Canis lupus familiaris: one gene and its partner. The protein of the gene in region 1 interacts with the protein of each later gene in a pairwise test. Links are inferred from orthologs where the notes say so. Each region holds a gene or a part of one and is shown in the gene's direction. Other genes may lie near its edges.

What was found. The genes of interacting proteins can lie anywhere in the genome.
Region 2: the proteins of TRIM63 (region 1) and PKM interact in a two-hybrid assay, tested with the Homo sapiens proteins (3 studies listed by BioGRID and IntAct). The link is inferred for Canis lupus familiaris from reciprocal best matches to the Homo sapiens genes TRIM63 and PKM.

Annotation. Positions count from the first base shown.
Region 1 is NC_049223.1:73,296,457-73,301,284, forward strand, and holds part of TRIM63 (E3 ubiquitin-protein ligase TRIM63), read left to right. Parts: intron 1-2,210; coding exon 2,211-2,379; intron 2,380-3,144; coding exon 3,145-3,240; intron 3,241-4,445; coding exon 4,446-4,679; intron 4,680-4,828. UniProt on the Homo sapiens protein: E3 ubiquitin ligase. Mediates the ubiquitination and subsequent proteasomal degradation of CKM, GMEB1 and HIBADH.
Region 2 is NC_049251.1:36,167,160-36,171,987, reverse strand, and holds part of PKM (pyruvate kinase PKM), read left to right. Parts: intron 1-100; coding exon 101-217; intron 218-2,620; coding exon 2,621-2,787; intron 2,788-3,564; coding exon 3,565-3,656; intron 3,657-4,828. UniProt on the Homo sapiens protein: Catalyzes the final rate-limiting step of glycolysis by mediating the transfer of a phosphoryl group from phosphoenolpyruvate (PEP) to ADP, generating ATP.

The DNA of each region.
Region 1 (4,828 bases):
GGAGTTTGTGCAGTGTGTGTGTCCAGCTGGAGAGAGATATGGCCACCAGGGAGCTCTTTACAAATTTGACACCTGACAAGACTCCCAGGCCACTGCCCTCAGGCCCTTGGGTCCCAAACCATCATCCAGTGTTGCCCGCCTGGCAGTGTCCTGCCCCAGGATAAGTGACAGACCAATCTTAGTGTGAAAAAGCCCTGACCAGGGGAACCGTCGGCTAGTCTGACTCTGTTACTAATGTATTGTGGGAACTTGGTTGAATCTTTGGGCCTTCATTTTATCCATCAGCAGAGGAGGATGGTAAGGTTTGTTAGTGTGACTATCAAATAGGGTTTTGATGGGAAATGTTAAAAGTATCAGATATGTATGGACACCTCCTGTGTCTAGGCACCTCGTCTTAAGCATTTTCCATGCGTGACCTTTATTTAATTCTCACAGTAATCCATACTACTTTCTTACCCTCATTTTCCAATGAGGAAATGGAGGCTCCTAGAAGGTCAGAGGTGTGCCCGAGGCTGCTCAGCAAGCCGTGATGCTGAGAGGGAGCCTAACTGACTCTATGGTGAATATTCCTAACTGCTATTGCCTCTATGTTCCTGGAGTAAAACTCCATAAAAGTACAGAAATATTGCTGACCATTCTCCAATAAGAAAATTAATATTGCACCCAAATATTAGCCCCTCACCTCGAGTATCGACCTCTGAAGAGCAGGTTTATGCTTGAACCCTTCGGGGGCCTTTCTACACAGTCAAATGGCTGTGAGAGATGCCCTTTATTGAGGGTCTGCTCTGTGCTAGGCTCTATACATTCATTGCTGATAGTTGCCCTGATCCCAGTAGCTCTGGGGTAAAACCAAGGCTCCGAGAGGTGAAATCACTTGCCCAAGGTCACAAAATGAGTGAGCAGCAGAACAGTCTGGATTTAAACCCAGATGCTGATGCCCGGGCTTCAGGAGAATGGGCATCTGGCATGGCAGTGGGCACAGGCACCAGACCCTCAGGATCTTAGCTCATCTCTGCAGCTACTGCCATTCCAGAGCTCCCTCCCGGGGGGGTAGAGACAGGTGGCAAAGGAAGACTCCTGCCAGCATGGGGAGGGGGGGGCCCTGCGATAAAAGATGAAAAAGAGATAAGTCTGAAAAGGGACTTATTTAAAAACCTGGGGAGATAATAATGTCTGGGGTGTGGCCAGTTGTGCAAGGCTATTCAGAGGTGAGGCATTGACATAGACAAGGGACAGTCACCATTTGACATTTGTGAGATGCTTGCTGTTTTAGGGACTGGGAAAGCAGAGTGGGAAAGCAGAGGTGATGTAGACATGGTGTTGGCTCTTAATGATATGTCTAGATGAAGGGGTAGGACTTAGACACAAAAAACTGAGCCTCAGATAGGAAGCAACTGATGCCCTGCGAGAAGCATAGATAACATGCCAGAGGCCCCTAAGTAGAGAACCAGACCGAGGGAGAAAAGCATTCTAAGAATGTGTGTTTGGGAAGGAAAAAACTCTGAATGCTGGAAAGACTTTCTGGACTTTAAGTCAAGGCTTGAGCTGAACTGTTACTCATCCTTGGGCTGCCTGTGTTCTGGTTGTGTGACTTGGGGCACACACATTTCTTCCCTCTCTGTGCCTGGGGGCACCCTCATGGTGTGCTTACTGGTATAGTCTCTCCACCTGTATTGAATAACCACCTCCTCCATGACACACACTGTACACTGCAAATTCAGAGGTGCCGGGAGCAGGCAAGTTTCCCTGCTTTGATGCGGTTACAGTCTGATGGATTAAATATAGAATTAAGTGAGGCCATGAGTATAAATTGCTTTGCTCAAAGTTAGCCTGCAGTAACCAGGAGTTACAGGGACTATAATTAGAGCAAATGCACTCTTGCCTCCCCTGCCCTGACTTGATGGGTGACCTTGGACAAGTCAGTTCACCTTTCTGGGGTTCAGTTTCTTCTTCTCAAAAATATCTCCAGTTCTGGGATTCTACAACCTTTCCCATGTTCATCACTGGAGTTTGAGTCCAAGGATATGAGGATAGCCTTGGTGTCACTGGCTTTCCTGGTTCTGGGTATCCAGAAAATGAAAAGGACTGTGTACAGCCAGTCACTGAGGGCTCAGGCCATAGATCTGGAGTTGCCACCCAGAGCTGGGGTGGGGGGAGACAGGGACTCGGGACCCCCCCCCCCCACTGTGTGACTTGTGATTCTTCTGCAGTCGGCCCCTGCAGAAGGGCAGCCACCCCATGTGCAAGGAGCATGAAGACGAGAAAATCAACATCTATTGCCTCACGTGTGAGATGCCCACGTGCTCCATGTGCAAGGTGTTTGGGGCTCACAAGGCCTGTGAGGTGGCCCCCCTGCAGAGCGTCTTCCAGGGACAAAAGGTACTGGCTTATACCACTTCTACCCCCAGCCTGGGCTTGTGGGGCATGGCCAGATGATTCAGGATGTAGATTTGATCCCTGTAGATCTGCTGAGCCGGCCTTTCAGGAATAGTCCCTCTGGAGGGACTTCCCAGGCCACAGGGACAGCAGCCCTTGCCTTCCTGGGGGAGGTGGCTGAGCTCATGGGTTATACTTAGAGCCACTTGAGAGCACCTGGGTGTGGCCACAGGCGAGAGACCAGACCCCTGGGCCAGGCCACCAGGGTCCTCTCAGGCCATGACTTCTACATCCCAGTGTGCTTGGGGCCCCAGATACCTCTTCCTGTGCTGGTTACCTCTCCTGTAGCAGAAAAAGTAGCTCAGAGCCCTCTCCCTGGCCCTGAGGCCTGTGGGAGTCCATAATCCTGCCCATGCAGTAAGCTATGGCCCCTCTTTCTGGACACTTCTTCCCTGCCTCCCACTCTTCTCTTGACCTCTCTCTTCTAGAACTCTCTATTTCTTTTTTGTATCTCTTCGTTCCTAAAAACAAACCCCTCCTCTGACAGTACATTGCTGTTTGTATTTTGGTCATTTCCCCTTTCTGGGCCTCATTTGTAAAATAAGGGATGTAGTATCTCTAGAGATGTAGGCTTTTTCTAGCAGAGAGGGGAGTGAGGGTGCCATTCCTGAGAAGACAGGCCCTGGGACTATTTCATCTCTCTTCTCCTTTTTTTTTTTTTTTTTTTCATCTCTCTTCTCCTGATCCCTCACCCCCTCTCCCATCTAGACGGAGCTGAGTAACTGTATCTCCATGCTGGTAGCGGGGAATGACCGGATGCAGACCATCATCACTCAGCTGGAGGACTCCTGTCGAGTGACCAAGGTGAGGGGGAGAAGAGTTCTGTCTAGGGGTCCAAGGCCTCTCAGTGAAGCCTGGTTCTCTGGGGTGAAGGCTCCGCTGTGAGCTGTGGCTAATGGTTGGGGCCTGGAGGCTGGGGTGTTCAAGCAGGGGTGGTGGAGTGGAAACCAACTAATCTATTCATCCACTCACTCACCAAATGCTTCTGGAACACAGCTGTGTGTCGGGCCCTGCCAAAGACGCTGGGGCTGGAGTGGTGAACAAGACAGACCAATCCCTGACTTTAGGAAGCATGCCAGCAATAATTCTCAGTATTTATTCAGCACAAGTAGTTTTCAGACCACTGTCTTCAGTGTGTTGTAGACTAAAGCTTCTCAAACTTTAAAATGCGTTCAGATCCCCCTGAGATCCTGTGAAAATTCAAATTCTTATTCAGTAGATCTGGAGGGAGGTATGAGGTTCTGCATTTCTTTCTAATGAACTCCCAGGCTTTACCCAACTTGTTGGTCCACGGACCACACCATGCAAGACTACATAGAGGCAGAAGGAAACTTTTCTATCTCTGAAAAAGAATCCATGATTTTTCATTTCCACTTGAGGTGGGGCCTAGAGATGAGGTGGGGGGGAAAGGGTCATCAGACTCCTGATGAACGAAGAGCTGTGTGAAGGATGGCTTTGAAGGAAGGAGGGGACTACTCATGAGATGCTCCCAGGCTGATAGAGGATACTAGAGCCTCCAGTCTGGTGAGATATATTATTATACCTATTTTGTAGGTATAGCATCTGTGTTGGAGAGAAGGGAGCCTCAGTGAGGAGGCCACTAGAGGAGTCGCTGCTTCTCCTTTCTTACTAGAACCAACTAGAGCCTCCTGAATCCAGTCTTGATCCTAAAATAGGGGCCAGGGGTATGTGTGGTGGGGGGTGACTTGGGAGGCCACAGAAGGCCCAGACTGGATCATCCCATCTGATCCTGGAGTCTCTATTTTTGAGGAAAGGGCTAGCTTTCTCCACGGCACTAGCCTCCAAACGTTACTGGTATGCTAAGTAGCTACGAGACCTCAGCAAATCCTTTCTTTTTGCCAAGACTTCATTTTGTCTTCTGTAAAATGGGGGTGTAGCAAGATCTCTTCCAGCTTCAGACTTGTTATTCCTAGCACATCCATCCCAGGAAAAATGTGCCAGGGAGAGGAAGACTCCCTAGGGTGTGACTCTGAGATTTCTGTCCCCAGGAGAACAGTCACCACGTGAAGGAAGAGCTGAGTCAGAAGTTTGACGTACTGTATGCTATCCTGGACGAGAAGAAGAGTGAGCTGCTGCAGCGGATCACGCGGGAGCAGGAGGATAAGCTCAGCTTCATTGAGGGCCTCATCCAGCAGTACCGGGAGCAGCTGGACAAGTCCACTAAGCTGGTGGAGACGGCCATCCAGTCCCTGGATGAGCCTGGTGGGGCCATCTTCCTTTTGGTGAGCAACTAGCAGGGTGTGGACAGTCACTTGGCCTTACCAGCTCTGACTAAGATGCATGTCAGGCACCCATGTGCCCCCCAAGCCAAACCATTTAAAGCTCTCAGTGTCAACGTCCTCAATGACCTCAAATGGCCACGCAACGATTT
Region 2 (4,828 bases), on another chromosome or scaffold:
CGGGAGCAGCTACCATCTGGTTACCTAGTTACTAAGGTCATATTTCCATTGCCCCAAAGAACTTCAGTTACACTCAGCTTCTACCTTGATCCTTGTACAGCTCTGCAGAGCAAACCTTACTCAGCTCTGAGCGGTCTTTGCAAGTGGGGCCAAGGAGCCACCCTGAGCCACAAAAAGGACATTATGTCACCGGAAGCCCAAGCCCCGAGAACACAAGGTATGACCCAACAACCTGTGGCCCCGGCCAGGTCTTTGTTTGCAAGGAAACACTCTTGTCTCGGGTCTAGAGAAGAGACAGCTGACTATGTTTTTGTGTTTTTTATGTTTCTGTTTTTGGTTTTTGTCAGTTTTTTTTTTTTTTTAATTTTATTTATTCATGACAGACACAGACAGAGAGAGAGAGGCAGAGACACAGGCAGAGGGAGAAGTAGGCTCCATGCAGGGAGCCCGATGTGAGACTCGATCCCGGGTCTCCAGGATCACGCCCTGGGCTGGAGGCGGTGCCAAACCGCTGGGCTATCAGGGCTGCTCCAGCTGGTGATTTTTAAGAAGATGCAGGTTAATTATTCCAATCCACTTTTTGAGATCTTGTTTTATTCATGATGACAGTCCTCAGACTGGATGATGATTCCACTTGGAGGCCACAGCTAGGCCTTTGTGTTCCAGTTGGCTGGGTGTGCCACCTGGTGCCATCTCTTCAGTCATGTTCTCTTAACAGGCAGACTTACCTCAGCCCTGCCATGTGCTCCGAAGGCACAGGAGCCCTGACTCCACGTGAGTGCCAATAAAGAAACCCTGGCTGCCGAGGCAGGCCCTCTAGTAATTCATAAATTCTTCAGATTTGGGGAAGGAGGGAAGAGAGGTATAACTTTGGTTTTGACAAAGAAGCTTTGAGGTACACGGAAAGGTCGTTCAGCAAACACTGGAACACTCCCCAGTACTAGGTGCTAACAGAGAACAGGTAGGTCACAGAGGAGAGGACCTCCAAACATTTTCGTTTTGGTGCCTGGTGTGTATTAGGGAGTTACGAAACACACGTTGAAAGGAGCAGTGCATTTGCCGTGTGGAATAGTTAGCCAACATCTTATTTCCCCATTTTTGAAGTATCAGCCTCTGTAGCTGAGCATGGGTAGCCATCCGTTTTCACTAGCTGACAAGTTTTGCTCACAACTGGTCACGGAACTTCTTGGGCGTGTATCAGAATTCGTGAAGGTAGCAGATATGGGCTGAGATGCAAGCTACCCCGAGAGGCCCCAAAGTCAAGGGCGGGGGGAGGAGGAAGTAAAAGTGGCATGTATGGCGTGCCTGGATTCAGAGCCCTGAGAGTTAGGAGGAGCTGGGACAGGCCTGAGGAGAGGCTTGTTCAGGAGCCTGGGCTGAAGCCTTGAAGCTCCCAGGGTGTTAGGAGTAACCCTTGGTCCAAGAACTTGAAGAAGGGACAGCCTTGTGATGAGGAGGGTCGAGCTTCTGACTCACATCCTTACCTGATGGTCCTTCAGACCAGCCTGGAAGCTTCTTAGGTCTCTATAATCAGCAAACTAACCGGCTGAGTGAGTTTAGCTGTCAGTAGTGAAGGAAGCAAAGGTCGGGACAGTTGTCAGGATTGTGACCGGGTCTGTTTAATTACCTGTAACAGGTGGTCTTTGCGGTGTGCTTGTCAGAAAGGGAATCGGGATGGTGTATCAGAAAATCAGGTGGGGGAGAGGGTTTGGCCAGCAGTCTGGATGGATTTCCTCAGGTGTAACTGTCCTGTTAAAGTAGGTGTAATACGTCTAGAACCCGACCAGTGCCATTGGGGTTATCTGGTTTTATGCAAATTGCTTTGCACGTCCCTAAAGTCCTGCTGACCACAAGTAGCTGTGGTTTTCAGGTGCAGACTCCTGGGGTGAAAGTGCGCTCGGGATTTTGGGTCAGCTCTGCTTCCTGTCCAAGGAGTGGTTCTTACTATCTGTCAGTGAACTGGGATTGGCTCTCCTGCCAGAGCAAGCCAAGGAATGAACTTACATGTTGCTCTGGCTTAGAGAAAATCTAGGATTCCAGAGGTCAAAGGACTGCCTGGATGATGATTGTCTTTACAACCAGGAAAATCACTTTGAGTTTGGGTGGGGATTATTAAAAACCACTATGGATGCCCCACCCCATAGCGGACGTTTATAGCTTGAGATAGCTTTTCATACAAAGATTTATATTTGCCAAGATACTAAACTAGCAGTTAGTGCTTTCTGTCGCTGGAAGGTTGGTCACGCCTTCCTTTGGAGGTAGCTTCCTTCGATGCCTGTGAGATGTTGTTTGGAGGAGGACGAGGAAAGCTGTCAAAGCGGATACTAGCCCGTTGTAAGGGAGATCTGCTTACAGCGGATGCTTGGGAAGCACGTGTGTTGGGGACGAGGTTTTAAATTGGTCTTTGAGGTCCTTTCCACTTGCTCATGGTCACGTGAACCCTTTGCCCGACTTGAGGAGTGCCCACGCCACCAGAGCATGGTGGGGCTCCCTGTGGCTCGTGCAGAGTGTGCCTATTGAGTTAATGTGTAAGCAGGAAACAGCCTCTTGTGCTAAGAGATCTATTAACCACCTGGGCTTCTCAGACTGATGACTCTCTCTTCAATTCCCCTGGATCCAGGACCTCAGCAGCCATGTCAAAGCCCCATAGTGACGTCGGGACCGCCTTCATTCAGACCCAGCAGCTGCACGCGGCCATGGCTGACACGTTCTTGGAACACATGTGCCGCCTGGACATCGACTCCCCACCCATCACGGCCCGGAACACTGGCATCATCTGTACCATTGGTGCGTGGGTGTGTCCCCCGCTGCGCCCCCCCCCCCCCCCCCAAAAAAAAACAGGGGCTTCATATGACCGTGATCTTCCCTGAAAAGACAAAAGAAATGTAGCAAACCTGGGTGCTGAGCGAGATGCTATACAGGTTCTTTGGGAACTCTGGACTCCGGTCCTAGGAAGTTGCAATAAGGAATTTTGCGTGCTCTGTGTTTGCTGCTAAAGGCAGAATATAGACAGTGTGTTGTTCCATAGCACATCTTTTAGGAGCATCTCAGAAATCTAGGGAAGATCCTTTTTTAAGATTTTATTTATTCATGAGAGACACAGAGGGAGGCAGTGACACAGGCAGAGGGAGAAGCAGGCTCCATGCAGGGAGCCCAGTGTGGGACTCAATCCTGGGACCCCAGGATCACGCCCTGAGCCTAAGGCCGACGCTCAACCACTGAGCCACCCGGGGATCCCTAGGGAAGATCTTTTTGACTTGCTGTGTGCAACCAAGATTCTGTGGTTGGACATCTGGCTAGGCTTCAGGGCCAAGTCTTACTTAGGCCTTCTTAGTTAGATGGGGGCCTGTAGGATTTCAAGGGCATAGCAAAAGCATCCCCTTAGCTCAGGGAAGTGGGTAAGCATAATATTAGTCATGTATATGCTTTTGAAAGAATTTTGAGCTGTTTCTGGGAGGAAAATTTAGGGGAAAAGGATATCAAGAGTTCTTCAAACTTGAAAGTGTTATTCCTCCTTTGAATATTTAACACTTTGGCTTTAAAACTTTTTTCCCCCTCCACTAGGACCAGCTTCCCGATCGGTGGAGACGTTGAAGGAGATGATTAAGTCTGGAATGAATGTGGCTCGTCTGAACTTCTCTCATGGAACTCACGAGGTAAGCCTCAGCTGGACAGCCTGGCCATAGGGGCAGCCTGTAGGAAATTGGGTGGCAGTGTGGTTCATTTAGTCATAGTGAATTAGGCAAGAGGAAGTCTGGGGTTTACAGCCAGCGGGACGAGTGTCTTCACTGGCCTATCCTATCATCCTTTCCCCATCTCCTGCCATCCCAGTTGGCCAAGTCTTCTTACCCAAAGATGACCTATTTGGTTATTGGCCATGGTTTTCTCACACTCGTGTACTGACTAAAGTGTGGAAGGTTTGGGGCACCTGGCTGGCTGAGGCAGAGGAGCGTGCAACTCTTGATCTCAGAGGTGAACATTTGGGGCCCACACTGAGTGTAGAGCTTGCTGGGAAAATAACTTTAAAAAAAGAGTGTGGAAGGGTTCTACTGGAAAACCCTGTAAGCCGTTAGGTAGCATGGCCTCAGTGCTTGACACCTCCTACCCCTGGGTTTCTATAGCTGTTCATATTGCAGTGATGAACCAAAAAGTCACCCTGCAGATTGATTTCTGGCCGAATGTAGACCCAAGATAACTGAGCAGGTCCAAGAGAAGAGTTTCTATACCATTGCAAGTTAAGGACCGAGTCCGATGTAATCACACTATCCAGCATACAGTACCCCACTTCATCAACACTGTTCCTAGCCTCTCTCTTCCCATGGGTTCTAGCATGTTAAAATAGAGTCAGCACACTCCCCAGCAGCCTGGTAGGAAAGGATCTGTACTGAGGCTGAGTATGAGCTGACTTGACCTGTGGACAGAGACTTGACCCAGGGACCAGGTGGCAACTCTTGGGACATGCTCCATCCCCCCTCCTGTTCCCAAACTAATTTTGAGGGAGGAGTGGAGGTTCCCTGAGGGACAATTCCTTTTAAAACCCATCGGGTTCCATCATAAGCTGTGGGATTTCAAAGTGGTATCGATAAAGAAGTAATGAAGGCGCCAGACTTAGTTCCTTCTCTCGACTTCTGATACTTTCTGTTCAGAATAAAGAAAAAGCTGCCCTGTAAGGACAAGTGGTGAGGGGTTGCCCTCTGGCATTTGGAAGCTGCTGTTTAGACTAAAAATAAAGCCTCAGGAAGTACAGCCCAAGAGGTGAACTTCTCCTTCTGGAAACGTGAGACTCTCCAGCATGGGTTCCCTAACCCAGTTTCATAAACAGCCTATG